4 linked regions of the Macaca fascicularis genome follow. The protein of the gene in region 2 interacts with the protein of the main gene of each other region in a pairwise test. Links are inferred from orthologs where the notes say so. Each region holds a gene or a part of one and is shown on either strand. Other genes may lie near its edges.

Region 1 (7,220 bases), on a different chromosome or scaffold from region 2:
AGCAGGTATGTATGTACTCTTCTATATAGTTTAGTGGAAAGTTTATAGCAACTATATAGTAAGTACAGTCAGATTATATTCCTGTTCCTCAGATTTAAGAATGGGGTCATGTTACAGAGCTTCTGTTTGCAGTGACATACTCATTCTGCCACAGTCATCTTCTGGAAGCTTTATTTTCCTGGGATGTTTGAAAGTCCTAAATACTTACATTGCCATTGAGTATTGACTCTGCTTCCCAAATTAATCCCAGAGTTTGGGGATCACACTAGACAAAGGCAATTCAAGTCACTGAGTAGAGTAAAACCGTTGCTAATTCCCTTGCAGAAGTGTTAGAATCCAGTGATCTTAAGATCTTTTGTAGCTGTTTGTGATGGCTCATGCCTGTAATCCTAGCACTTTAGAGACCTAGGAGGATCACTTGAGGCCAGGAGTTTGAGACCAGCCTGGGCAACATAGTGAAACCCTGTCTCTATAAAAAGATGAAAAAATTAACTAGGTGTGGTGCTATGCACCTATAATTCCAGCACTTTGGAAGGCGGAGGCAGGAGGATTGTTTGAGCCTAGGAATTTGAGATCAGCCTGGGCAATATGACGTGACCCTTTCTCTACAAAAACTAGAAAAAATTAACTGGGCGTGTTGGTGCACGCCTATAGTCCCAGATACTCAAGAGGCTGAGATGGGAGGATTGCTTAAGCCCAGGAAGTCAAGGCTGCAGTGAGCTGTGATCGTGCCACTGCACTCCAGCCTGGGTGACAGAGCCAGACCCTATCTCGAAAAAAAAAAGCAAAAAAGTGAGTGGCAAAACGTACAGGGCAAAAACATGAGCATGAGATACATTATCACCATCTGTGACCTGCGGAAGTCCAAAGGGGAACTGTGAGGCCTCTGTGGACTTTGCCTTGCTCCATTTGTCTGCTCCTAGTGATGCCAGTGAGTGACCCTGGTTAGTGTGCTGCCATGCACACAGTGACACTGTGGAGTCCATAGCCCTGCTAGTGAGGAGCTCTCAGAAAACAGAGCCTGGAGGCCTTGAGTTTTTTAATATAAAAGTAGAACAAATACTGATTTGCATTGTCAAATGTTCAAGCAGTTAATGTACTTTTCTAAATACCACCAAAAGTCAGAGAAAACAAAAATTAAACTAGGATGCAGTGAATAATAATAACTAATACTTCTAGGACACTTAACATTTGCCAGACTCTGCTGAGCACTTGACTTGCCTCAGCTTGCCTTTTTTTCTTTCCTTTGTCTTTGTTTTTTTTTTTTTTTTTTTTTTTTTTTGAGACGGAGTCTCGCTCTGTCGCCCAGGCTGGAGTGCAGTGGCGCGATCTCGGCTCACTGCAAGCTCCGCCTCCCGGGTTCACGCCATTCTCCCGCCTCAGCCTCCCGAGTAGCTGGGACTAGAGGCGCCCGCCACCGCGCCCGGCTAATTTTTTTTTTGTATTTTTAGTAGAGATGGGGTTTCACCGTGTTAGCCAGGATGGTCTCGATCTCCTGACCTCATGATCCACCCGTCTCGGCCTCCCAAAGTGCTGGGATTACAGGCTTGAGCCACCGCGCCCGGCCTCCTTTTTCTTTTTTTTTTAAAGAGAGAGGATCTCTCCCTCTGTTGCTCAGGCTGGAGTGTTGTTGTATTTTTATTTATTTATTTATTTATTTATTTATTTTAAAGAGACAGGATCTGGGCTGGGTGCAGTGGCTCATGCCTGTAATCCCAGCACTTTGGGAGGCCAAGGCAGGTGGATCATGAGGTCAGGAGTTCAAGACCAGCCTAACCAATATGGTGAAACCCCATCTCAACTAAAAGTACAAAAAATTAGCTGGGCATGGGAGCACGTGCCTGTAATCTCAGCTACTTGGGAGGCTGAGGCAGGAGAATTGCTTGAACCTGGGAGGCAGAGGTTGCAGTGAGCCGAGATCGTGCCGCTGCACTCCAGCCTGGGCTACAGAGTGAGACTCCATCTCAAAAAAAAAAAAAAGAAAAAAAGAGAGAGAGACAGGATCTCCCTCTGGTGCTTGGGCTGGAGTGTTGTGCGATCATATAGCTCAATGCAGCCTTGAACTCCTGGGCTCAAGCGATTGTTGTGTCTCAGCCTCTCAAGTAGCTGGGACTATAGGTGTGTACCATCGCACCTGGTTAATTTTTTCATTTTTTGTAGAGATGGGGATCTCACTATGTTGCCCAGGTTGGTCTCAAACTCCTGGCCTCAAGCAGTCCTGCCTTTTGCCTCCCAAAACACTGAGATTACAGGCGTGAGCCATCACGCCTGGCCCTCAGCACATTGTTTTCTTTCTTCCTTTTTTTTTTTTTTTTTAAGACAGAGTCTTGCTCTGTTGTCCAGGCTGGAGCCCGATCTCAGCTCACTGCAACCTCCGCCTCCCAGTTTCAAGCAATTCTTTTGCCTCAGCTTCCCCAGTAGCTGGGATTAAAGGCATGTGCCACCATACCCAGCTAATGTCTATATTTTTAGTAGAGACAAGGTTTCACCATGTTGGCCAGGCTGGTCGCAAACTCCTGACCTCAGGTAATCTACCTGCCTTGACCTCCCAAAGTGCTAAGATTATAGGCGTGAGCCACCATGCCCGGCCCCCTCAGCTCTTCCAGTGCTCATTATTTCCCCGTCATGTTGGGTCAAGAACCACTCCATCAGGAAGGTTTCTGATTACCTTCCTCCTTCCTACCCACTTTTCACCAAAAAGCCAGTTTCTCTCTGTGCCACTCCCTAACCCCTACTGGTTTGATGTATTCTCCCAGGAGAGTGACACATAGACCTGCCTCGTTCCCCTTCTGTAGCAGAGTCTCCCCCACAACTCCCCAAAGGCTTGGTTTAGAGAGGCTCCTGAAGCATCTCCTGAGCTGGTGCTATCTCTACCCACCTATCCAGGTGGATAGAGACACGAGCTAGGAGCCTTGTCTCCCCATCAGCTCCCCTGTTCATACTCTGACCCTGCACATCCCAGCCAGTCCTCTGGGTCAGCACTGCAGAATGACTGCAGACTGCCCTCCTTGTACAGACACATTCTTAAACACACACACAACCAGAAATGTGGGAAGAAATAAGATGTCTTGTATAGAGTTCACTGTTTAATGTTAAGCAAAATAGATTTCTTCCTATTGTTGTGGATGGACGGGAAAGGTAGAAACTGAGAGAAGCAGCCAGGTGTGGTGGCTCATGCCGGTAATCTTAGCACTTTGGGAGGCTGATGCAGGCAGATCACCTGAGGTCAGAAGTTCGAGACCATCCTGGCCAACGTGGCAAAACCCTGTCTCTAATAGAAATACAAAAATTAGCTGGGTGTGGTGGCACATGCCTATAATCCCAACTACATTGGAGGCTAAGGCACAAGAATCGCTTGAACCTGGGAGGTGGAGGTTGCGGTGAGCCGAGATCACGCTGCTGCACTCTAACCTGGGCGACAGAGCGAGACTCTGTCTCAAAAAAAGAAAAAGGGTGGGGGGGAAGAAACAGAGAAGCAGCAGCCCTCTGGAAGATTATAAAGTAGTTCTAAGTAGTTCTGTGGAATATGTTAGCCCTGAGGAAAGAAAAGGAGACTAGAGGAGTCTGTCATGCATGCTAATCTGGTGTGAGCTTCAGGTTACCTTGTAACAAACAAGGCAGTAGTGTTAAAATTGTCAGTGAAATGATAGTGTAAAATAACATAAAAAGTGAATTTATAAGATTTTCCACTTTTTTCTTTTAAATTTCCCTCCAGATTATCGTAGATGATGATGACAGTAAGATATGGTCGCTCTATGATGCAGGCCCCCGAAGTATCAGGTGTCCTCTCATATTCCTGCCCCCTGTCAGTGGAACTGCAGATGTCTTTTTCCGGCAGATTTTGGCTCTGACTGGATGGGGTTACCGGGTTATCGCTGTAAGTATTACTGATTCAGTATTAAAATGTAGACCGACGTTTTGTGGGTTTGTGTGTGTGTGTGTGTGTGTGTGTGTGTGTGTGTGCTTCTGTCTCTGATCAGCTATAGTAATAGGCACAGTTTGTTTGTTTGTTTGTTTGTTGAGACGGAGTCTCACTCTGTCACCTAGGGCTGGAGTGCAGTGGCGTGATCTCAGCTCACTGCAACCTCCGTCTCCCAGGTTCAAGCAATTCTCCTGCCTCAGCCTCCTGAGTAGCTGGGATTACAGGTGCCCGCCACTATGCCCAGCTAATTTTTTGTATTTTTAGTAGAGACGGGGTTTCGCCATGTTGGCCAGGCTGGTCTCGAACTCCTGACCTCATGATTCACCTGCCTCAGCCTTACAAAGTGCTGAGATTCCAGCCATGAGCCACTGCGCCCGGCCGGGCAGTTTTTTTTAATTGAGGAAAGATATTGTTTGCCTATTTTAATATGTGAGATGAAGCCTTTTGAAGGAGGCTGGTGTGAGTCCACAGTCACACAGAGATTCAGAAGGAACAAACCTCTATTGGCAGCCTCTCCATGCCCAGCGTTTACGTGCATTCTCTCCTGACGCCCTTCTCTCAACTCGGAGTGGTTGGAAGTGTTGTCCTTGTTTACAGATGAAGAAACTGAGGTCTGGCTCACACAGCCAGTAAGTGGTGGAGGGAGGAACTGAGCTCTGTCTCCTGGCTCTGTTTCTGCTCCTCGTTTTATCACAGCACTGCTTCCAGGGTTGCTGAGCATGGAATATTAGACAACAAAGGGATTAGCTAACACACAAGTGACTGAAAAGCTGGCTTTTCGTGTAAATCTTTGATATTTGAGGTGAGATTCATTAATTAGCTCATATGTTAGCATTTGGTTAGGAAGTTTTTTGTTTATGATTAGTACTTTATAGCCGAGTTTGGTCTAAATCCAGTTTCCCACTGATCATTCTTGAGTCTTCTCTGGGAGAAAAGTGTGTGGGAAAGGCACTCTTCCTGGTGACTGATTTTTCTTTTTTCTTTTTTTTTTTTTTTGCATGCTTCCACTGTAACGACACAGGTTGGTCAGGACGTTGGTCTCCTAATTTCCCAGGAAGGAGACAGCCTTTTTAGCTGGCAGTCGCCTGCAGTATTCACTTGTAAGTGGTACTCCCGGTGGGAGTGCTGCTGTTAGTGTGTGTGTTATTTACTGTTGAAGGGGTGAAAAAGCATGTCACATGTCTTCTCTTGGAAGGTAACTGAAAGTTCTACTGAGGTTACCACCAACTGAGGCCACACAAAAGAAATCAGTTCCTCTTCCTCCTGAGAGCCCATCTCTTACTTGAGAAAACAGTTATCATCACCACCACCTGCTGCTTTTCTCCTGGGTCTTTTCTTCTCTGGCTTAATTTCTCCAGCTTCTTTAACCATTCGTCACATGACATGTTTGAGCCTCTGCAACATAATCCTCCTTTGTTCAGACTTTCAGTCATTCCTCTTCACAAACAGCATTCTAGAACAGGGTAGGAACTGCCCTCATCCAAGCCCTCTGCAGCCTGAGACATGACACTACCATTTTTGGTGGCCCCTGTTGATCAGCCAGGGAGGGGGAGCCAAGCAGCCTGCAGGTGCCCGTCCCACTTGGGAGTGCTGTCCAACAGCGTTTCTCGCTCCACAGTGGCAGATCATGAGAGCCTTGGCTTCTGGCTGGATGTTTCTTCTTTGCCCTCAAGGTTCTCGATGTGGGCTTTCCCTGTTTCGTTAGGAGGATAGTTAATCAAGAAAAGGTCAACAGCGTCTTGATCAGAATGTTCAGCTCCATGAGGTTGTGGAATTTATTTGATATTTGTTAGTATCTAGCAGTTATAATGCACAGACCTTTTTAAATTTTTTTTTGTTGTAATTGTAGATTCACATGCAGTGTAAAAAATAGTTCAGAGAAATATCCTTTTTACACATTTCCTCAGTTTCCGCCAAACCTTTGCAAAACTGTAGTACAATATCACAACCAGGATATTGATATTACTACAATCTACCAATCTCATTCAGGTTTCTCCAGTTCTGCTTGAACACATTTGTTTGTATGTATTAAGTTGTGTATAATTTTGTCACCTGTGTGGGCACAGATATTTATAAATTAAAGACTCCATGAAAATATCATCCCCTTTCTTTTAGGCTATCATCTGACTCAAATTCTCAAACTTTCTGCTAGGGAGAATCGGTTCCCCATTCTTTCTTGGCATGGTGGAAGTTTTACCCACAAATAGAATTTTAATAATAAAAGTCATACATCAAATCTAAAATGATCCCATAATTCATTTGGCAGTATCCATTCCAGTGATTCATCAGTAACAAAATGAACCTAAGTGCTTAAACAATAAGCCTGTTAGACGAGGTTTTTTGGGATTTGTTTTTGTTTTTGTTTTTGTTTTTTGGTGATGGAGACTCGCTCTGTCGCTCCAGCTAGAGTGCAGTAGTATGATCTCAGCTCATGCAACCTCCACCTCCCAGGCTCAAGCAATTCTCATGCCTCAGCTTCCCCAGTAGCTGGGATTACAGCTGCCTGCCACCATGCCTGGATAATTTTTGTATTTTTTTGGTAGAGATGGGGTTTCACCATGTTCCCCAGGCTGGTCTCAAACTCCTGACCTCAAGTGATTCCCCTGCCTCAGCCTCCCAAAGCGGTGGGATTACAAGCATGAGCCACTGCGCCCAGCCAGTGGGTTTTATATGTACATAAAAAAGGAATTCTTGACCAGGCACGGTGGCTTACGCCTGTAATCCCAACACTTCGGGAGGCCGAGGTGGGTGGATCACGAGGTCAGGAGATCGAGACCATCCTGGCTAACACAGTGAAACCCCCCGTCTCTACTAAAAATGCAAAAAAGAAAGAAAATTAGTTGGGCATGGTGGCACACGCCTGTAGTCCCAGCTACTTGAGAGACTGAGGCAGGAGAATCGCTTGAACCCAGGAGGCAGAGGTTGCAGTGAGCTGAGATCGTACCACTGCACTCCAGCATGGGTGACAGAGTGAGACTCCATCTCAAACAACAAAAAAAGGAATTCTTAGGGGACAAACCTGAGTCCCTTAGAAATGAGTTTGTGACTTGTACTTCTTTTTCCTCATCATTGCCAGCATTAATAGACAGGCTACATATAGTCAAGTACCATACTTCTTTTTCACAAACAGAAGTACAATAGCCTGGCATGGTACTTCTGTTGGCTCACACCCGTAATCCCAGCACTTTGGGAAGCTGAGGCAGTCAAATCGCTTGAGGCAGGCAAATCGCTTGAGCCCAGGAGTTCAAGACCAGCCTGGGCAACATGGCAAAACCCCATTTCTACAAAAAATATATAT
Region 2 (7,902 bases):
CCGAGCCTTGTGCCTGTAACTGGTCAATGTGTCCATGTCCCCCACCATGGTTGAGAGCTCCCCAAGGGCAGGCAGGAGCTTGACACTGGGCAGTGGGGGTGGGTGCAGAATAGCTATCCAATAAAGTGTTTGCTGAGTGAGTAAGTGTAATCTGGCCAGATGTGGTGGCTCACGCCTGTAATCCCAGCACTTTGGGAGGCCGAGGTGGGCGGACCGGGCAGGCAGACCACCTGAGTTCAGGGGTTCGAGACTAGCCTGGCCAACATGGTGAAACCCCATCTCTACTAAAAACACAAAAATTAGCCAGACTTGGTGGCGGGCGCCTGTAATCCCAGCTACTTGAGAGGCTGAGGCGGGAGAATCGCTTGAACCCAGGAAGCGGTGGTTGCAGTGAGCAGAGCTTGCGCCAGTGCACTCCAGCCTGGGTGAGATTCTTTTTCAAAAAAAAAAAAAAAAAAGAATGAGCATAATCTGCAATGATAGGCATCTCGTTCCAGGCCCTATGGGAGGCGCTGGGAAACGAGGCTAATGTTTCAACATAAGGGATGGGTGAAGCCTGCAAGGGAGGCCAGGCTGTCATGAAGACTTGGTTCCAGAGCTGAGAAACGCAACTGTTTCATCCGTTATCTTAGTGCAGGGTTTCTCTGCCTTGGCACTGCTGATGTTCGGGGCTGGGTCATTCTTGGTTGTTTTCGGCGGGGAGGGGAGGTGGCTGTCCTGGACACTGCAGGGTGCTGAGCAGCGTCCCTGGCCTCTGCCCTCTCCATGCCATCAGCTCCCCAGTCATGACGACCACAGATATCCCTAGACATCACCCAGTGTCCCTGGGGCAGGGTGGGGGGCAGTACTACCCCCCCCCCGTCTTGGAGGCAGCAAACCCCAGCATCTCGGTCCCCCGGGTGGAGGAGAGCCCTTTGGTTGGCTGTGCACTCACCAGCCGGCACTGAGCAAGGCTGTGGCTGCACGGAGCCTCAGTTTCCCCCTTGGTAAGTGGGAATGGTAATGGCCCCTGCCTCTTATGGTTTCAAGTTAACAGAGAGGGCTGGGCACAGTGGTTCATGCCTATAATCCCAGCACTCTGGGAGGTTGAGGTGGGTGGATCGCCTGAGGTCAGGATTTCGAGACCAACCTGACCAACATGGAGAAACCCCATCCCTACTAAAAATACAAAATTAGCCGGGAGTGGTGGCGCATGCCTGTAATCCCAGGTACTCAGGAGGTTGAGGCAGGAGAATTGCTTGAACCCAGGAGGCAGAGGTTGTGATGAGCCGAGAACATGCCATTGCACTCCAGCCTGGGCAACAAGAGCGAAACTCTGTTGCAAAAAAAAAGTAATAACAAGTTAACAGAGAGAACTCCTTTCTGCGCGTTTATTTTTATTCATTTATTTATTTTTGAGACGGAGCCTTGCTCTGTCGTCCAGGCTGGAGTGTAGCGACACAATCTCAGGTCACTACAAGCTCCGCCTCCCGGACTCAAGCGATTCTCCTGCCTCAACCTCCTGAGTAGCTGAGCGTGCCACCACACCCAGCTGAATTTTGTATTTTTAGTAGAGACGGGGTTTCACCATGTTGGCCAGGCTGGTCTCAAATTCCTGACCTCAGGTGATCCGCCCGCCTCGGTCTCCCAAAGTGCTGGGATTCCAGGCGTGAGCCGCCGCGACCTGCCCTTCTCCACATTTATTAAGTGCCTTCAGGCAACAATAACACAGTCCCAGCAAGGAGGGTGTTCAGAGAAAAAGGTGTGTGTGTCCAGCTCAGCCCCAATCCTGAACCTGGCTCTGAAAAGAATGATGACGACAGCTGCATTTATTAAGCGCCTATTGTGTGCCAGGTTTTGTGCTTTCCCTGAATTATCTTATTCAGAACTGGGGGTGGGTGGGTGTTGCCCAAGGTCACACAGGGAACCCCCGTGCTTCAGAGAGCTTGGACAGCCTCCTTCCTCCTCCCCTGGAGCTGCTATCTGCAGAGTGAGATAGAGGCTGCTTCCGGACCAAAGGGCAGAGGCCCAAGTCCCTCCCAGCCCCTCCTACCTGCTTTAGTCTTTATCCACAAGCACCTGAGGTCACGGGTAGGCGGAGTCCCCCAGCTGGGAGGCTGTGTGGCCTCCCGGTCACTGTCTCCTCTGAGTTTCTTCGTATGTTACCCAGGGGTGTGGGATTTGTCGATTTAAATGAGGTGGGAGAAGGGGGATGAGGGAATGCTACCTCTCCCCAGGCCTGGCTTGTGGGGAGGAGTGACTCTCCCAGGGTGTCCCTCCCTTAAATCCCTGTTCCTGCAGCTTCAGCAACGGGAGGATGACCTTGGACATCAGAACTGTGGAGGGGGGCCCAGCCCCCACGATTAGCAGCAGATGGGACTGGGAGTGGGCGGGGTGGAGGGGTGTACGCCTCAGACACAACAGGCGCAGAGGAAACTGTGCCTCAGTTTCCTCTCTGGTGACACAGTGCCCCAGCCAGCCCCTCCCTGCTGCCTGCCTCCTGGGCGCTCTGTGACCTAAATTCCTGCCCACTGGCCCCAGGGATGTGGAAAGGGAGGGCAGAGGCCAGGGACCTGCTCCCGGGGGCAGGCACAGCCAGGCCATGCCCATGCCACCTGCTGCACTGCACATGGGACCAGGCACCTGGGGACCTCCAGGGTCTGGACACAGATTTCAGACTGTTCTCAGGCTGCCTGGCATGGGAACCCCCAGATGGTGGGAAAATGGAGGGGGGGACTGGACTCCGGGGATCCACCTGCAGAAGGTGCTCAAAAAAGTGGCACTGTCCTCTACCCAGAACACCCCAGGCCCAGATCAAGTCCTTTCAAGTCATTCTGCGGAGCTTCCTGGAAGAGAAGGCAGAGCCAGTGGGGCTGGGAGCAGTGGCTCCCACGTAAATCCCAGAGCTTTGGGAGGCTGAGGCAGAAGGATCGCTTGAGCCCAGGAGTTTGAGACCAGTCTGGGTAACATAGTGAGACCCTGTCTCTTAAAAAAGTTAACTTTAAAAAGTTTTAGGCCAGGCAAGGTGGCTCACACCTGTAATCCCAGCACTTTGGGAGGCTGAGGTGGGCGGATCACCTGAGGCCAGGAGTTCGAGACCAGCCTGGCCAACATAGTGAAACCCCGTCTCTACTAAAAATACAAAAATTAGCCGGGCATGGTGACCTGCGTCTGTAATCCCCGCTGCGCAGGAGGCTGAGGCAGGAGAATCGCTTGAACCCAGGAGGCAGAGGTTGCAGTGAGCTGAGATTGCACCACTGCACTCCAGCCTGTGCGGCAGGGCAAGACTCGATCTCAAAAAAAAAGTTTTAAAGGTGGGGAGAGAGGCATTTAAGGAGCGCTTACTACATGCTCTTGCTGTAGTTTTGGAAAGGCGAAGGGGCGCGGCGTCACCAAGGGTGAAAGGCCCGGAAGAACTGTAATGGAGTCACAATCGGGGTGCCTGGATCTCCCGCTCTGTGGGCCCCAGTCCAACCTCCCCACATCACAGCTGTCAGACAACCCAACTCCGTCTTAACAAATATTTACGCGCGGTGGCACTAAGCCATTGAGCGGGGCAAGGTGAGCTAGGGCAGGAGAGGAGGAGGAGAGGAGAGTCCTGAGCAGCCCCCCGGGACGGTCCGTTCCCCTCCCCGCCTGGAGCCTCCCCTCGGAAAAACGGGAAGATCTCCACTGTTGCAGCCAGGTCGGGGTCCACGGGGGGAGGGGGACGGCGAAACGTGCAGGACACTGGCATCCTGGCCTCTCCGGGGCCACTGGGCAACTGGAAGAACCGGACTTCGGCATGGCAGGCACCCAGCGCCCAGAAGGAGGCGGCGGGGGACGGCCAGGGATGGAAGCTAGAGAGGGGTGGCTCGGGAGCAGGGTCGCAGGGCGCGGGCAAGGGAGGAGTTGCGGGTGGACCTCGAAGTCCCGGTCACCCCGCGCGCTCTACGAGCAGGACCGGACCCCGTAGCCGGGGAGGGAGTCAGACCTGCGACCCCCGGGCCCATGGCCTCAGTGTGCCCGTTGGCGAAACGGGCTAGCGCCGACGGCTCACCTGCAGCCAGATACCGCTTCTCCAGCCCGGTCTTGGCCTCCAGCGCCCCCAGCACGTCGGTGACCAGGTTCCTTTGCTCCAGGAAGCGCTCCACGCGCTGGCTCAGGCCGTCCATGGCCCCGACGCGCCCGGGGTTGGCTGCTCGAGCTCGCCCGCGGACCCGCGCACCCACTCCGCTGCACGCGCGCCGCTTTCCCGCAGCCTGAGCCGCGCTGCTCCGGCCCGGCGCCGGTGTCCGCCCCCGGCCCCCCGCCCGGACCAATGGGAGGGCAGGGCGGACAAAGGAGGTGGGGCCTGCCCCGTCTCCCCCGCCGCATAGCCCTCCGCCCGCTGCCGCCGCTGCCCAGACCCCGCCGGGAGAGGGCGGGGCGCGCCGGCCCAGGGCACCGATTGGCCGGGCCAGAGCGAGACGTAGCTGATTGGAAGGGCGGCGTCAGGGGACGGGATTATTGGCTGCGACACTGAGGGGGTGGAGCCAGGGCGATGAGAGGCGCGGGTGGGGGCGGAGCCGGTGGGTGGGGCTAAAGAAAAATCCGAGCCGATTGGAGAAACGGGACGCGATTCATTGGCGAGAGCAGTGGAGGGCGGGGCTGATCACAAAGGAGGCAGGTTGGAATGGTAGGGGCGGGAACGGGGCGGGGCTTATCGGGGGAGGCGGGATTACTCGAAAGAATGATTCTGATTAGCCCGGATAGGAGGCCGGGCTGATTCTCGAAGGAGGGGTGTGTTGGAAAGTGGGCGAGGCCAAAGAAAGGGTAGGACGCGTTACTGCAACAGTGAACCCGCTTCTCTGGGTTAGTCTTGTCGTTGTACAAATGGGAAAACTGAGGCTCCCGAAGGTGTGGGTCTGCGGGAGACGGGCAGGCGTGCGTCCCTGCCCCGCTTCTGTCAGATCTTCGCGCCCGTCTTGGCTGAGTAGCCGCAAGGCCCCCTGGGAGTCGAAGCCTTCCGCGTTGCTATGGAGCCGGGGGCTGAGAGGACGCCTGGGTCCACTCGGCGGTTTGGCGGGAGGGAGGGGCTTTGCGCAGGCCCCGCCCCCGGCCCCGCCCCGCCTCCATGCGGCCCGCCCCGATTGCGCTGTGGCTGCTCCGGGTCTTGGCCCTGGCCCTCGTCCGCCCCCGGGCTGTGGGGTGGGCCTCGGTCCGAGCCCCCATCTATGTCAGCAGCTGGGCCGTCCGGGTGTCTCAGGGTAACCGGGAGGTCGAGCGCCTGGCACGCAAATTCGGCTTCGTCAACCTGGGGCCGGTGGGTGGGACCGGGATGGACGGGAAGTGGGGGCGTGGAAGGGACTAGAGGACCCTAGACCCCGACAAGTGGGAGGGAGCCCACAAGGTCTCCTAAATATCAAGAGCCTCAGCCCACCCCTGCCTCAGCCAAGTTCAGCTTCTGGGACTCCCAGAGAGCACCTGGTGGGGAAGGACAAGAAAGGGGGCTGTTACCGGTCCTCGGGGGCTCCAGCAGGGGAGCCTGGTCCTATCGGTGCGGCCGCTTCCCCACATCCCCAGATCTTCCCTGATGGGCAGTACTTTCACCTGCGGCACCGGGGCGTGGTCCAGCAGTCCCTGACCCCGCACTGGGGCCACCGCCTGCACCTGAAGAAAGACCCCAAGGTGAGCCTGGCCTGGAGGCCACCCTCTCAGGGTCTCAGCCGCCTCCTGGGGCCACTAGCCATCTTCTGTGGTTCTCGTGGTTGTTATGAACAGCTGTGTGCTTTCTGTGGCTCAGACCCACCTGGACCACAAGTCTGTACAGCAGGAGGAGGGAGGGAGACCCAGATACGGAAATCATGGCGCCTGCCAGGGCCTGGTACACAGTGGTCACCTCTTGCCCTTCCCCTCCCTCCTCTGGGTCCCAGGGGCTCTGGTAAGGAGGAACAGATGGAATGCCTTCCCCACCGTCTAGGTCATAGGATGGAGGGAAGGGGATTTTACAACACAGGAATGGGTTCCAAAGAGTAGGAGCCTTAAAGTCACCCAGTGGCCCTCAGGACGCAGTGTCCGGGTGCTCAGAAAGGGGCCTGGGTCCGATCGGGCTGGGCCCTGTCTAGAAAATGCCTGAGATGTCAAGCTGAGGGGTTGAGATGGAGCCTTGGAAGCCCTCAGAGGCCAGGAAGTGCCTTGAACAGGACTGGACAGCTGCCTGCTTATAGCACTGGGAGGGAAAGCAGTGGCCGGTTCCTGATGTGGTTTGCAAGAGAGAAGCCAGGCCTGGTGTGGTGATTCATGCCTGTAATCCCGGCACTTCAGGAGGCCAAGGCAGGCAGATTATTTGAGCTCAGGAGTTTGAGACCAGCCTGACCAACATGGCGAAACCCCGTCTCTACTAAAAATACAAAAATTAACTGGGCATGGTGGTGTGCGCCTGTAGTCCCAGCTACTTGGGAGGCTGAGGTAGGAGAATCGCTTGAACCCGGGAGGCAGAGGTTGCAGTGAGCCAAGATTGCACCACTGCACTCCAGCCTGGGCGACAGAGCAAGACTCTGTCTCAAAAAAAAAAAAAAAAAAAGGAAGTGATGCAGGAGAGAGAAGGATCTAGAACAGGGATGGGGGAAGGAGTGGAGTGGGGACCTGGGGACCTGCAGTCACCCGGGACAGCGACGATGCGTCTGTGGACCCAAGGACAGGTGGTCCAAAAGCCTCGGTCCCCTCTGACTGCAGACAGAGCCCCAGGTACATGCGGACGCTGGAGAGCAGCCCCCACAAACACGGGGCCCCAGGGCATGGGGCTGCCTCACTCCCTGAACCACGAGGGGCCCCAGGAGCGAGCAGCGGACAGGCCTGACCCACCTTCTGCTCTGTAGGTGCAGTGGTTCCAGCAGCAGACGCTACGGCGGCGGGTGAAACGCTCTGTGGTGGTGCCCACAGACCCCTGGTTCTCCAAGCAGTGGTACATGGTGAGCGGGCAGCCAGGGTGGGTGGGTGGGGACAGGGCCACTAGCGCCCTCGACCCCAGGCCCTCACAGGGTCACCACCCTGCCTCCCCCTGCAGAACAGCGAGGCCCAACCAGACCTGAGTGTCCTGCAGGCCTGGGGCCAGGGGCTGTCAGGCCAGGGCATTGTGGTCTCTGTGCTGGACGATGGCATCGAGAAGGACCACCCAGACCTCTGGGCCAACTACGTGAGACCGCGGGTGGCTGGGGGCGAGGGCTGCCCCAGGTGCCGAGACCGGCTCCACCCAAGGACGCCTCCCAGCCCCCTCGTATCCCCACCTGTCCCCAGGACCCCCTGGCCAGCTACGACTTTAATGACTACGACCCAGACCCCCAGCCCCGCTACACCCCCAGCGACGAGAACCGGTGAGCAGGGCTCCCACAGCACATGGGGGAAGCCCCAGTACCTGGCAGGGGGATGGAGGCCGTGACGGGAGCCCTTCTTGGCCCTGGCACCAGGCACGGGACCCGCTGTGCTGGGGAGGTGGCCGCGATGGCCGACAATGGCTTCTGTGGTGTGGGGGTCGCTTTCAACGCCCGAATTGGAGGTACCCAGGGTCCCCCAGCGGCACCATTGGGGGACAGAGAGGGAAGGGGGTGATGCTGGCGGAGAGCTGGGCCCGCAGACCAGGGAAGGAGGACTCGGGAGCCCCCCCGTCACTGCTGGGTGGTGCTAGGGCCCCAGACTCTGGGGCTCAGGGGGTGCTGAGCCAATACGGATGGTCCACTCCAGGGAGCAGAGAGAGGGCCCGGGTGGGGCTGGGGAGTGGCGCGGGGTGGGGCTGGGGAGTGGTGTGGAGTGGCGCGGGTGGGGCTGGGGAGTGGCGTGGAATGGCGCGGGTGGGGCTGGGGAGTGGCGTGGAGTGGCGCGGGTGGGGCTGGGGAGTGGTGTGGAGTGGCCCGGGTGGGGCTGGGGAGTGGCGCAGGGTGGCGCAGGGTGGGCTGGGGTGTGGGG
Region 3 (7,220 bases), on a different chromosome or scaffold from region 2:
GAGAACATCTTTTTAATACTGCAGAGAGCAGTTACAAGGTGGTTAGTACATGGTTACGTGCACTAGACTCTATACTTGGTGGTGAGCTATTCATTTATTTTTTCATTTTAATCTGAGCTCCAGAATCTTATTTAAAATTTAGATTAAAAAAAAATGCCAGGCGCGGTGGCTCATTCCTGTAGTAATCCCAGCACTTTGGGAGGCTGAAGTGGGCAGGTCAGGAGTTCAAGACCAGCCTGGTTAACATGGTGAAGCCCCATCTCCACTAAATATACAAAAAGTAGTTGGGCACGGTGGCAGGTTCCTGTAATCCCAGCTACTCGGGAGGCAGAGGCAGGAGAATCGCTTGAACCCGGGAAGTGGAGGCTGCAGCGAGCTGAGATCATGCCATTGCACTCTAGTCTGAGTGACAGAGCAAGACTCCCTCTCAAAAAAATAAAAAGCGAAACTACTCTTAATGTCTCTTTCATGGCCCCTGGTAGATCTACTTCCAATTCACTCATGTGCCTGCAAAATACAGGTGGCTCATTGTAAACATTTCAGTCATACAGGAAGGAGAGGACCGACGAACCAAAAGGCAAATCAGAATTCTGCAAGTAAAATTCCAACGTCTAGATTTACTCCTAACAGAAATCCTGAGCCCAGAAAGTCAGAGAAGGATTTTTAACATCCCAAACACGTCAGACTCTCACTGGAGAGAAAACTGAGGCCAAATGGTGTGAGTATATGAAGCCCTGTTTATAAATAGTTCAGTATCCAACAGAAGTGTTCTCGTTAGCAACTGGGAAGCCAGTTGTCCCAGAGAAAAAATCTTCACGGGTAACGCTGTGGTCAGCAAGGAATCCATCATATGCTTAAGTCTGGCTTCAAGAGATGTAGTAGCTGAATAATTTCATTAAGACACAAACCAACACTTCTTAGAAGGCCACCTCGCCTAGATGGACATAACAGAATATAAGATAAATAGCCACTTTTGGTTTCAGATTGGTAAAATTCCTCTTTGCAGTCCAAGCAGGCAGGTATAAAGCCCTTTCATTAATTGAATGTGAACCAGTGTTTGCAAGAGACTCTCAAGTCCCCATCAAACAGCGGCAGAACAAAAGAGCCTTTTAATTTGATATGTAAGTCCATACTTTGAACAGTAAAATGGAATATCCAATGAATGCTTCGTACTCCAGGCAACTGACATGAAAGTTTCGCGTAATACATGTTTTTACTGATCCTGAAATAGGGCTCTTGTTTTGAAGACTTTGCATGTGTAATTAATAATAGCTTGAGATCATGTATATGCCACCATCTGAGCCAAACTGCTAAATATGCATGGCCCCAAAACTACACAATCAAGATCTGGAAAGCAGCAATTTTTCAAGACTGTAATTTAGGGTTTAAATGACAATGTAAGCCACACCAAGATGACATTATTTCCTTGCATCTAGCAAAATGAAGCTGTATCATCAGGTAGCAAAGGAGGGGGGAAGGCGGCATCCATACTCCTGACATGTTACAATACCCTCCTTTTAGCATCTCACAAAGCATGTTTTGTTCAGAGAATGAATGAGGACAGCTCTCTTCTGTGCATTTTATTAAAACTTGAAAGCTATGGCTTGCCGCCATCAACGACGCCTATTGGGTTCCAAAAGCCTCATGTTCAAATCTGACTCGTTAGCAAATCCACCCAAATCAACATCGCTCATCTAGACATTGCAGGATATTCAGCAAGTCTGACGTTTTTAATCGGGAAGGATTTTCTACCGTTACTGAGCAAATAAAGGTTCTTTGTAGCAATGGCTGGAAACGCAACACGAGCCCTTTCTTCACACCAAAAGAACTCATAAATAGTTCACCGGGTGAACCAAAGACTTTATTTTTCAAAAGCAGGTAACACCAAAGTACTATGTGGTATCCGTATTCATTGCAAAAATGATAATTACTGGAATTTTCCAAACATCAAATGAAGTAAGGGGGATCCATGGTTACCACTATCATTTTCAACCAATATACAGATGTTCGCTCAAGGTCTAGGTTTTATTTTTACATAGTAGTATTCACATGAGTTCCCTAAGCTGAATTATTGTCAAATCGAGGACTCTTGAAGGTCGAGCCCAGCTTTGTCTTGACTTCAAAGATGACACAGCAGCCAACCTAGAATCCTGGCTTGCTGCTTGAGTCCTGGAAATCATGTCTTCTGATGTTTTACAACAAGCCATGTCTCTGAAAACTAAAATCAGACTTCAGATTCCTCTGAAACAGCTCTGGTTCCCAAGTGTTCCGCACCATGGTACCCAGACATGCTCAAAATGTGCTTTCCCTTATCTTCCAAAACCCACCACCAGGAACCCAAAAGGGACCCCACTTTGGGAGTTCCATGATGAAGGTGTTTAAGAACCACATGAACCCCAAGTAAAGGCAGCGGATGAAATTATCCATTTCTTTTCCTTTTCTTTTTTTAAGTGAGACTACACTGGCAAATGGGAAAATGACACCGATCATATGATTAGAGAAAATGGTTTTATAAATCCTCCTCTTGAAATTATGTTCAGGCCCCACACGGTAGCTCATGCCTGCAATCCCAGCACTTCGGGAGGCCAAAGCAGAAGGATCTCTTGAGCCCAGGAGTTTGAGACCAGCCTGGGCAACACAGTAAGACCCCGTCTCTGTTTTTTTTTTTTTTTTAAAAGAAAGAAATTCTGTTCAAAAGCATTTCAGACCAAAAGGAGGTCATAAAAACTGTTCATATAATTACCCTATGAGAAAAAAATCCCTGTATGGAAAGGGGCACTGATGATCTGGCACAGAGAAACAAGGGGACACAGGGCAGTGATAAAATCCAGCCCTGGTATTCTAGGATGCATTTATGACCTCATGGATATGTCTGTACTGCGTGTTAATAGCCCCTCTTTTTACTTAAAAAAAAAAAAAAATTAGGAAATTAAAGTGAATCTGTGTGCTAATGAAGTCTGAAGTTACAGATTCTAAAAGCCAAGTCTGTAAAGTCTATAAGGCAAGATCTTTATCATCAGGGATGGGAACAGATGGATAAGATAATGGTAGGCACTAAAGGCTGGTTCAGCTGAGCTCTGAGCAGAACAGCCTCAAAAATAAGGCAACTGTGGCTTCTCAGTTTGAGACTGCCACCAGAAAGGCCCACGGAGGCAGGAAAAAAGAGCCACTGATGGCAGATCACTGGAAGATACTCGGAGAGGGCAATGATCACAGTTAGATGGGAGGACTCAGGGTCACAGGGAGGCAGGAAACCGTTGAACTGACACTCAAGGGGAATGTCTTTGCAAGTCCTATGCACGACTCCAAGCAGCAATTTTTGGGGTTTGGAGGTTTGTTAGTTTTGCGACATTTCCCCCCAGAAGAAGACATGAAGGTGGGCCCCCTGGAGAGGTGAGACCACCAGGGCAGAACCTCCACCAGGTGTGAAGCTTGATGAGAGGTGGAAAGGACTTCCTGCGGCACCCGGCTCCCTCCATGTCTGGCTGAGTCCTACAAACGCTTGTAGGTGCCCAGGAGAGCTCTGCAGTTGGGACAGTAATGGTCCACGTCCTGCAGGGCGTCCACGCAGAAGGGGATGAAGCAGCAGCCCGCTACGCACCTGGGAGGGGAGAGAGACACGTGGAGCACGTTACTGACCACAATAGGATGGACACTGGCTGCCAAAAACATGTTCATGTCCTTCTTTGTAAAAAGGGTCTTTGCCAGTATAATTAGGAATTTTGAGATGGGATCATCTTGGATTATCCAGGTGGACCCCCAAAACCCAATGACCTTAGAAGAAGAGGAGAGGACACACAGAGATTCAGAGAGGGCAGAAGGGCATGTGAAGACAGAGGCAGAGGCTGGAACGATGAGGCCATAAGCCAAGGAACACCTGGAGCTACCAGAAGCTGGAGGAGGCAAAAAAACATTCTGCCCTGAAGCCTTAGGAGGGAGCGTGGCCCTGCTGACATTTGGGGTTTTTTTTTTTTTTGGTTTGTTTGTTTATTTGTTTGTTTTGAGACGGAGTCTTGCTCTGTTGCCCAGGGTTCAAGCAATTCTCCCTCCCCCTGGGTTCAAGCAATTCTCCTCGCCTCAGCCTCCTGAGTAGCTGGGACTGCAGGCGCATGCCACCACGCCCAGCTAAGTTATATATTTTTAGGAGAGATGAGGTTTCACCATGTTGGCCAGGCTGGTCTCAAACTCCTGACCTCAAGTGATCCACCTGCCTTGGCCTCCCCAAGTGCTGGGATTACAGGCGAGAGCCACCACACCCGGCTCCTGCTGACATTTTGATTTTGCACTTCTGGCCCCTAGAATTGTGAGAGTCAATATCTGTTGTTTTAAACACTAGGTGTGTTGTAATTCGTGATGGCACCCCTAGGAAATTAACATGCCAGCCAACGCCAAGGTTCCTCCTAAGGACAGACCCCCTTTGAGCATGATTTTCAAATCTTGAGTCATTTGGGAATCTTTCAAAGTCTTAGATGGGCTTGGTGAACTTTTTTTTGCAAAGGGCCAGATAGTAGATCTTTTAGTCTTTTTCTTGCTGTTCTTTGTTTGTTTTTGTACAGATGGGGTCTTGCTATGTTGCGCAGGCTAGTCTTGAACTGCTGGCCTCAAGTGATCCTTCCACCTCCGCCTCCCAAAGTGCTGAGATTACAAGTGGAAGCCACCACACACCCGGCCAGATACTTTCATCCTGATGAGCCATGGAGTCTCTGTTGCCACTACTCAACTCTGCCCTTGCAACGAGAAGACAGCCACAGAGAATCCAAAAACCAATAGGCGTGGCTATGTTCCTGTGAAACTGCAAACAGGTGCCTGGCTCCAGGGCCGTTTTGCCAACCCCTGTCTTACTGATCTCTTTCCCATATACACAGGCTGCTTCTTACAGCAACCAAGTAGAATTCCCCAAATAACAACTCTTAACCTACATAATCCACCATTGGCACACACAGGAAGGAACGTCAGACAGCCTGACAACCAATGTTTGTCAAAAACGTGGTTAAAACTCAGCCTTTTACGGGAAGATGCTGGTTTACATAAGGCAAAATTTGGAAACATTCTGATGAGGAAATTATCTCATGAAAGAAATTTCCTCCTATTGCCTAAGCTTTCCAGAGCTCAAATAAGAGCAGTCAGTCCGTTCAGCAGGAGTCCTAACCTATGGCTTACAGGTGCAGGCACGGCTCCAGGCAGCACACACATATATTTTATCCTCGGCAGCCCCTGAGGTGGGCCTTATTGCCCCGCCCCCCCGTCTATAGATGAGGAACCGAAGCACAGAGAGGTAAAGTCATTTGCCCATGGCCACACAGCTAGTGAGAGGCAGGATTTGAACCCACTCTACCATGTTTAAGGAAGGAACAAAGGGAGGGAAACAAAGGCTGCCTCAATTTGTAAAGCCAGATTGGCAGAGGCCAATACTCAGTGTAAGTTTCTATTCCTCTATAATTCCAGCACTTTGGGAGGTCAAGGCGGGAGGATTGCTTGGGTCCAGGAGTTTAAGACCAGCCTGGGCAGCATAGTAAAACACCCGCTTCCACACACACACACACACAAAAAATTTTTAACTAGCTGGGTATGGTGGCACACACCTGTGGTCCCAGATACTCAGGAGGCTGAAGTGGGAGGATTGCATGAGCCCAGGAGGTCAAAGCTGCAGAGAGCTACGATCGTACCACTGCACTCCTGCCTGGGCAACACAGCAAGACTCAGTCTCACACAAAACAAAACAAGGAAGTTTCTATTCTGTCCTTTCCCTGATTTCAAAGATAAAAATTTGTTTTAATACAAATATCCAGAGGCAATGGACTCTTTTTTTTTTTTTTTTTTTTTTTTTTTTAGCATTTTCTGCCCATGGAATGAAAACAACAGCAGAGTCCTGTGGGCAAGAGGGGGAATCAGGTGCCCAGAAAGCTGTTTTGTCTCCTTCCTTCCTTATTTAACACATGACCTCGAGGAAGTTAACTACACTCTCCGGGACTCTGAGCCTCTTACTGAAGTTAGGAAGAGAAATATTGTTCCTTTTCAACCTCAAGTCACCAAAGGACAATGTGGAGGAATGTGTTGGTTGCATGAGGCTCCTGAAAGTCACAAACATCGGTTCCTTCAAGGAAAAGAATGGAGCCCCTTGGGGTTTTCTGAGTGGCTCACGTGGCCAGGAATAAGGAAGCTACTTTTACCTGCTTGGTGGGAAACAAAAAATTGATTGTGTTTCCTCAGATTTTTCTCCCAGAACAGAAACTATTATCTCTTTAAACATAATACCCTGGGTGCAGACATAAATATTTACATAATTCCCGCGCATGGGCAACGGGAAAAATACTTTGGGTCATAAAAGGATAAGAAGTTTTGAAGCGATTCCTATGAAGAATTTTAATGCACAGATTGTTTAAAGCTTCCCTCGGGCTCCAGCAAACATTATTATTTAGGTCATGAAATTCTAGAAGAAAAGGAACCCCTGAGGGTATTGCCCTACACACAGCTGGAAGCAGCTGTGAAGCTTGTCCCCACGCGCAGATAAGCAAGAAGAAAAGACGGAAGACCAATTTCTGGGGACTGATAGAGCAGTAGGGATGACTTGGCCTCCCAGGGGGTATTTTTGGTCAGAAGTGGGGAGCGTAGTGCTCCTGGCATCAAGCGAGTGGGGGCCAAGGATGCTATTCAATATCCTACAATGCACAGGACACCCCCTACAATCAAGAAATGTCTTGGGCCAGGCATGGTGACCCATGCCTGTAATCCCAGCACTTTGGCAGGCTGAGGCGGGCAGATCACCTGAGGTCAGGAGTTCGAGACCAGCCTGGCCAACATGGTGAGACCCTATCTCTACTAAAAATACAAAATATTAGCCGGGCGTGGCGGTGCACACTTGTAATCCCAGCTACTAGGGAGGCTGAGGCAGGACAATCGCTTGAACCCGGGGAGCAGAGGTTACAGTGAGCCGGGATCACGCCACTGCACTCCAGCCTGGGCAACAGAGTGAGAATCCGTCACAAAAAAAGAAAGAACTGTGTTAGGCCAGGCACAGTGGCTCACACCTGTAATCCCAGCACTTTGGGAGGCCGAGGCGTGCAGATCACCTAAGGTCAGGAGTTTGAGGCCAGCCTGGCCAAGATGGTGAAACCCCGACTCTATTAAAAATAAGCTGGGCGTGGTTGTGTACCCCTATAATCCCAGCTACGCAGGAGGCTGAGGCAGGAGAATCGTTTGAACCTGAGCAGTGGGGGTTG
Region 4 (6,889 bases), on a different chromosome or scaffold from region 2:
TGCCCCAGGTCACACAGGTGAGACTTTTGGCCCTCCTGCCCTTCCATCTATGGGGTGGGGGAAGCCTCTACCCTCCCTGCTAATCCTAGGCAGCCAATGAAAGCATGTGCTTGTCCTGCCCTCCGCAGCCAGGGAAGCTGACTGAAGCCTTCAAATACTTCCTGCAAGGCATGGGCTACAGTGAGTACATTTCCACCCCACCACACCTAGAGACCAGTGGGCAGTCAGTGCTGGGGTGGGGGGTCCTGTTTGCAGGGCTGGCACGTGGTGTCAGGGGGTACTGGGGAGCCCACAGGCATAGTTTTGTGTGACCTGGGCCCCGGATGCTGGGCCCCACAGATGCCACCTGAGTTGCAAGTTGCACATCCCAGGCTGTGCCCAGCTCCCCTTTGCCCTTAGGGAGGACTTGGCACACTGTTCTGATGGCAGTGATGGGCATACTGGGGGAAGGGACCCTTCTCTCTGTGCTGAGGGTCCAGGTCCAAGGGCCACGTCCTGCCAGGGAAGCCTGTCTGGGGGTGAGGCACACTCCCCTCATCTGCCCCAGGGCTTGGGGTCAGAGTTGGGCCTACGGCACCTGAGAAGGCCTTTTGAAACAACTGGTGGCTGCACCCAGGGCGTCATAGGAGTGGGCTTGGAGCCTGGGGCCAGGGAAGGCAATTGGGGCGGCCTGGGCATTCAGAGAGCTGAAAGCAGCTGAACCTGAGTTGGCAGATCTGAAAATCTGGGTCTGGGGTAGAACCAGGTACACATACACAGACACACACACCCCTTGGGTGTCTCCTCAACTTCCCCTTCCCTCTAAGACATACCTGTTTCCAGCTCCCCACTACCAGGTGGCAAACTTCCTCTTCTCAGTTTGTTTTTTATTGCCCTCCAGACTTTAGCCTCTGGAGCTGGTATCTCCAGGGCAAACAGGGGGCGGCCTGTGGGAAGGCTGGGGAGGACACCCAGGAATACAGTGCTCTCTGGAGCAGGGCAGAGCCCTAGGGCCCGCAGGGGGGCTCTGCAGGAGCGCAGAGGCTGGGATCAGGGCACAGCAAGCATTTGTGAGGTGAATGGAGGAAGCTTGTCAGGCGCTGAGATGCGTTCTCAGGGTCCTGGGGAGAAACTCCACCAGGCAGCCCCGAGCTGGGAGAGGCACAGAGGGGCAGGCCTCCCCAGTTCTGTACGCAGGAGACTGAGGCCCAGCAGAATGGTGAGGGGATAAGCACCCCACCGGCTGTCAGGGCTTCCTTGGGTCAGAGATCCTTCTGGGGACCACTGCTGGGTGGGCTTCCAGAGCCTCTGACCCTGCCCCCAGCCTCTCTGTGCCTGTCCTTTGTCCCATCTCTCCGGCTCATCTCAATGCTCTGGCCTCAGTGGACCACGCTGTTCACTGTGTTGTGTCTCCCCCACCCCGCCCCCTGTCTGGCTCTGTCTTCTCTCTTAGTTGCGTACTTGAAGGACCGAAGGCTGAGTGGAGGAGCAGGTAGCCCCACAGCCCTTCCCCTGATGCATGGACACCTAGCCTCCCCCTCCCCCGCTCCTGCTGCAGCCAGGCCGCATCTTGCTGTGGTTTGGAACCTTCTTGTGTCCTGTTCCACTCAGAAAGCCCACAGATTCTTGTGTTTCTGCAGACTTGGCCTCTAGGTTGGCTGGGCTGCAGAGCAGTCTTGCTTCTAGGTTGTCATGAGCTTCGTAGCTTCCAGAGCTCTGGGGATTGGAAACAGACCCTCCTTAGAGGTAGAGCCCAGGTCTGGCCCTGCCTGAGCCAGAGGTGGCCAGGAGCGTTCAGGAGGGTAGAGTTTGCTGCCCGCAAGTCTTGCTTGTGAAACTCCAAACAAGGGCAGAGTCTGAATTGAGGGTGACCACTGCTCCGTGTCCTCCTTTACAGAAGCAGTCCTACTTCTCCACCGGCATCCTCGAGGGAGGCACGGCTGGAAACCCAGCACCTCCCTGCACCAGCTGCTCAGGGCTGCCTGGTCAGCTGCTTGAGAGGGCCCTGCTGGCCACAGCCCCCTAGGCCCACTCACTGTCGCTGGCCCTGCATGCCCCCGGCCCGACAGCTGTCGCCAGCCTCCTGGCTCGGGAGGGGCCCTTTGTGCCTTCGAGAAACGGTTCGCTAGCCGCTTTGCTTGCAGCCTACTTTTCCCACCAGAGGCGCCTGGCCCTGCCCGCCAGTCCTCAGGCCCACCCTGTCTCTGTCCACAGTGCCCTCAGCCAGCATGACCCGCCTGGCACGCTCCCGCACTGCATCCCTCACCAGTGCCAGCTCGGTGGATGGCAGCCGCCCACAGGCCTGCACCCACTCGGAGAGCAGCGAGGGGCTGGGCCAGGTCAACCACACCATGGAGGTGTCCTGTTGAAGCCCTCGATCCCGCTGACGACGCCCACCTGTCCGCCCACGTCGAGGCCCCACCGCCATCCTTGCGCCGGCTCATGTTCCCTTTAGTTTATTTTTGTGAGGGCAAAGGGGAGGAAATGGGGTTCTGTTTGAAAAAAATGAGGGGATCTCTCTTAGATCCTTCAGCGGAACAGTCTCCAGGTGTTTTGAGGGGCTCACTCCTCCCCACCCCATCTCACTCTCCGTGGTAACTTGGCCGACTTGACCCCTCTCATCTCACTCCCTGTGGCCCAGGCACAGGAGGGCAGGGCCATAGGGAGGGAGATTCTCTAAGGATCCAGGCCATTCCTGGGTGAGCCCTTGGGCAGGCAGGTTTGCAGATGGGAGAGGCTTCGAGAGGGTGGTTACTGGGCCCACAGGGGTGCAGGGCCAGCTCAGGCACTGGAGTGGGAGCCCTGGGAGACCCCTTCCCCCACTCTCCACCAAGCACACCCGTTTCTGTCTCATAGCACATGTGACAATCATCTGGACAATAGCCACAAGGGGGCGGTCGGACCAGGCAGCCACTTTCCTGGTGCTCTCTGGGCCCAGCTGGTGCTGTAGGGCCAGGCAGGCAGGGGCGTCGGGGTTTCTCTGCCCAAGGAAGACAGAACATGGAGAACCGTGAGGGCAGGAACCCCACAGACTGTCCCTTCCAGCCCACACTCTGCCACCTCCTGGCCCTCTCCCATTTCTGAGCCAAGGCCTCCCCGAGGCAGAAGTTGCCTGGTCGTCTGTCCCCACAGTGACCTGACTGGGGGTGAGGGAGAAGGAAGAGAGAGCCCATGTGTGGCGTGTGTGCCCTGAGAACATCGTGGTGACTGCCTTTGGGAGCCCGCAGGTGGCCAGAGGCAGGGGTAGCTGAGTTCCTGGAGACCCCTTTTTTGCCCCCAGGTTCCCCAGAGGGCAATGCCATCAGTAGCAGTGTGGTGTTTCAGGCAGAGCTCTGGCCAGGCTGTGCCAGCGTGTCCTGGAAGCATCACTAAGGAAGAGAGAGTTTATTCAGTCAACTGGCCCAAGGCAGCGAGACTTCTACCCCATAGCCCCCTGGGCTGGGGCTTACTGGGGGCTGATGATTCTGGACACGAACAAGAGCCAGGTAGAGGAGAAAGGCTTCTCCCACACCCCAGCCCCCTGCTGTCCCCTGAAGCCCAGGACTGTGTTGTATGCTTTCCATCCACCCACCTTACCCTATAGCATCTTGCGGCCCAGAAACCAGAGCCATTTGTCTCAGACCCTAAATCAATGGTCACAAACCTCAAAACAGAGAGGGGAGAGAGCAATGAAAACATGAAGGGCTGTGGAGGGGGAGGGTTGTGGCAGGTGTTCTGAGGCTGAGAGGACACCTATATGCGTATTTCCTCTATACACATCACCCCCCTTCTGTAATCTTAAGCCATGACTAGCCTGGTGATGTGTTAGTTTGTGCCGAGTTCTACCCCCTCATGTGCTGCTTCTGAATACTGAATGTGACTGGTTGAAAGCTGGTAGAATTCATCCCTCTTACTGTAGATAGCACTGCAAATCGTGGAATTTTTTTTTTGTTTTTTGCTGTGTTTCCAGATGAAATATCTATAAATATCTATACATTATATATATAGATGTGTGTGTGTGTGTGTGTGTGTGTACATTGGGTCCTCCCATGTGTGGTGGTCCTCCGGAGGCTGTCTCTTTGGTCAAGGTGAACTTTTAATGTTTATTATTTTCTTCTCCGCACAAAGAGCCTAATTCTGTGTATTCTGGTGGCTGCTGTCATGAGATGACAAAATGTAAAACAAAACTCTAGTCAACGTAGAAAGAGTTAACTGTGCTGAAAAACTAATAAAGAACCTAAGAATTCCAGTGTGGTGATGCCATGCCCATCGTGGGAAGCTTTTGGAGTGACAGAATGTTTGGGCAGGGGCTGCTGGTGCTGCTTGGTTTGGGGTGAGGGTGCTAGGAGAGGATGGTCTCCACCCATCTTTCTATTTCCAGTACATGTCACATTATTTTACCAGTGAGAGGAGAGTGTGACAAACATTAAAAGCCTTATGTGCTAATTTCTGCTTAAACCCCTGACTCTGGGACAAAATACAGCTCTCCTCAGCCAGGCGCGGTTGCTCAAGCCTGTAATCCCAGCACTTTGGGAGGCTGAGGCGGGCAGATCACTTGAGGCCAGCAGTTAAAGACCAGCCTGGGCAACATGGTGAAACCCTGTCTCTACTAAAAATACAAAAATTAGCCAGGCGTGGTGGCAGGCGCCTGTAATCCCAGCTACTCGGGAGGCTGAAGCAGAAGAATCTCTTGAACACGGGAGGCAGAGGTGGTAGTGAGCGGAGATCATGCCACTGCACTCCAGCCTGGGGGACAGAGTGAGACTCTGTCTCAAAATAAAAAACAAAATACAGCTTTCCAGAAAAAAAAAGCCTTAAAAACAAAACACCCCTGCCCTCCAAATCTCTTGCCTGAGTCACTACATTCCTTCAAAGATAAATGACCTGTTCTTTGCCTTCTCCTAAACATACGATCATGTCTGACAGGGTTAATGATTATACTTCTGCAATCTATAACCAGATATACTTATCCCTAAACTTTGATATGATTTTACACATACTAAATCTTCAACTACATATAACCTAAACTAAAATACCCTGTTACAGCAGCCTCACAAGATTACTCCTGGGCTACAGGCCTCAGTCTATAGTCCTCAGTAAGGCTTCTAAATAAAACTAATTTTAATTATTTAAAAACTTAATATTTTTTCTTTAGTCAACATACCAGTCCTTACATTAATCCTACAGGGTAGGTATTATCTTAGTTTCACAGGTGAGGAGACTAAGCTTCAGGAAAAAGGATCTGCCTTAATAATAGACCAGGCCGGGCGCGATGGCTCACGCCTGTAATCCTAGCACTTTGGGAAGCCGAGGCGGGCGGATTGCCTGAGCTCAGGAGTTCGAGACCAGCCTGGGCAACGCGGTGAAACCCCGACCCTACTAAAAATAAATACAAAAAATGAGCTGGGCGTGGCAGCCTACGCCTGTAGTCCTGTAGTCCCAGCTACTCGGGAGGCTAAGACAGAATTGCTTGAACCCGGGAGGTGGAGGTTGCAGTGAGCCGAGACTGCACCACGCACTCCAGCCTGGGCGACAGATCGAGACTCCGTCTCCCCACCTCCCCAAAAAAGAGAAAAAAAAAAAAACACTGAGTGTTGAGCTCCGGCGTTGCTTGGTTTCAAAACCCATTCCTGTAACCTCGTTTATTTATTCACAGCCTCGTTTTCTTAAAAACAGCATGCTACTTCCCCAGGTTTAACCACCATTTGTTTTATTCATTTATTTACCCAATAGGTAGATATTGAGTCCTTACTATGTCAGCTAATAAAACCCACCACGTGCTATGCAGTAGATTAAAAAACGAGGATGTACTGGCAAATAAGGGCAGACAGGATCTATTCTAGATCCAGGAGCCCTCTAGGCCACGCTATTCCGAAACACACACGAAAACTGCTCTGAACGCATACCACCAGTAAAACGATTCCATGGCCATCGGTAACAAGGAGTCGAGATCAGGAGGTCGCTGGCCGCCCAGATGCGTCGCTCACCACCGGCCGGCCGCCAGACCCTCGGCTTCCGATCCAGAAACCGTATTTTGTTCCTACACCCAGACCGCAAGAAGCCTCAGCCCTCGGGGACAGACCAAAGGCCAGGGTTGTACCTGGCTCAGAACCAGGCTCCAAGCGGCACGGGACGCTCCTTCTGCACTCTGACCGCGTGAGTGCAATTGGAGATCCTGGACTCAAGATGTTTTCAGTAGGAACGATTCCAGCCAGCGCTAACACCGGCCGGTCTGCAGCGTGGACGCCAAAACAGGCACCACGTGGTTCTGGCGCCGGGGCGGGGCCAGAGACGCCGGAAGTGGCCGCGCGCTCCACGGGCCCACCGGGCGGCGCGCTTTCAGACCATGGCGACCCAGACGAAGCGCCCACGGGTGAGTGGCGGGTGCGGGGTCCAGCCTTCTCCTTCGCGCCTCACCCCTCCTCCGCCCGCAGGGCCATGCGCCTGCGCCCCCTCCGCTCCCTCCCGCGGGTCCCGCGCCCCTCTCCGCTCGTCCCCACCTCCACCCAAAGCCCGTTCTGCGCGCGCGCGTCGCGGTCTCCTGCCGTTCCCAGCGGGCTCTCTGGGGCCGGGCCTGGTCACTGCGCGCACTTATCTCAGGTGGCGGGGCCTGTGGACGGCGGCGACCCGGATGCTGTGGTCGGTTTCCTGAACTGGTGCCGGCGGGTGGGGCTGGAGCTGAGTCCCAAGGTGAGCGAGCGAGCCGGCGGGCGGAGGACCCGCGGCGGGGCGCGGGCTGCCCTGACCAGCCCTCCTCCGGCTCAGGTGGCGGTCAGCCGGCAGGGCACGGTGGCCGGCTACGGCATGGTGGCCCGGGAGAGCGTGCAGGCCGGAGAGCTGCTGTTCGTGGTACCGCGGGCCGCGCTCCTGTCGCAGTACACCTGCTCCATTGGCGGCCTGCTGGAGCGAGGTGGGCACGGCGGCGGGCTAG

The links.
Region 1: the proteins of REEP6 (region 2) and SPG21 interact in binary tests that used the Homo sapiens proteins (3 or more experiments, as listed by UniProt). The two-hybrid records come from large-scale screens. The link is inferred for Macaca fascicularis from reciprocal best matches to the Homo sapiens genes REEP6 and SPG21.
Region 3: the proteins of REEP6 (region 2) and LITAF interact in binary tests that used the Homo sapiens proteins (3 or more experiments, as listed by UniProt). The two-hybrid records come from large-scale screens. The link is inferred for Macaca fascicularis from reciprocal best matches to the Homo sapiens genes REEP6 and LITAF.
Region 4: the proteins of REEP6 (region 2) and NDRG4 interact in binary tests that used the Homo sapiens proteins (3 or more experiments, as listed by UniProt). The two-hybrid records come from large-scale screens. The link is inferred for Macaca fascicularis from reciprocal best matches to the Homo sapiens genes REEP6 and NDRG4.

The regions. Positions count from the first base shown.
Region 1 is NC_088381.1:41,566,885-41,574,104, reverse strand, and holds part of SPG21 (maspardin), read left to right. Parts: intron 1-3,715; coding exon 3,716-3,877; intron 3,878-7,220. UniProt on the Homo sapiens protein: May play a role as a negative regulatory factor in CD4-dependent T-cell activation.
Region 2 is NC_088393.1:2,083,931-2,091,832, reverse strand, and holds the start of REEP6 (receptor expression-enhancing protein 6), read right to left. Parts: upstream 4,216-7,902; 5' UTR 4,134-4,215; coding exon 4,019-4,133; intron 1-4,018. Other genes in the region: PCSK4 (proprotein convertase subtilisin/kexin type 4), read left to right, coding at 5,075-5,263, 5,524-5,628, 6,819-6,911, 7,007-7,313. UniProt on the Homo sapiens protein: Required for correct function and survival of retinal photoreceptors. Required for retinal development.
Region 3 is NC_088394.1:12,233,310-12,240,529, forward strand, and holds the end of LITAF (lipopolysaccharide-induced tumor necrosis factor-alpha factor), read right to left. Parts: intron 3,602-7,220; coding exon 3,493-3,601; 3' UTR 1,840-3,492; downstream 1-1,839.
Region 4 is NC_088394.1:54,613,494-54,620,382, forward strand, and holds the end of NDRG4 (protein NDRG4), read left to right. Parts: coding exon 1-17; intron 18-128; coding exon 129-180; intron 181-1,432; coding exon 1,433-1,471; intron 1,472-1,876; coding exon of another isoform or gene 1,877-1,977; exon of another isoform or gene 1,978-2,193; coding exon 2,194-2,348; 3' UTR 2,349-4,207; downstream 4,208-6,889. Other genes in the region: N-lysine methyltransferase SETD6, read left to right, coding at 6,145-6,868. UniProt on the Homo sapiens protein: Contributes to the maintenance of intracerebral BDNF levels within the normal range, which is necessary for the preservation of spatial learning and the resistance to neuronal cell death caused by ischemic stress.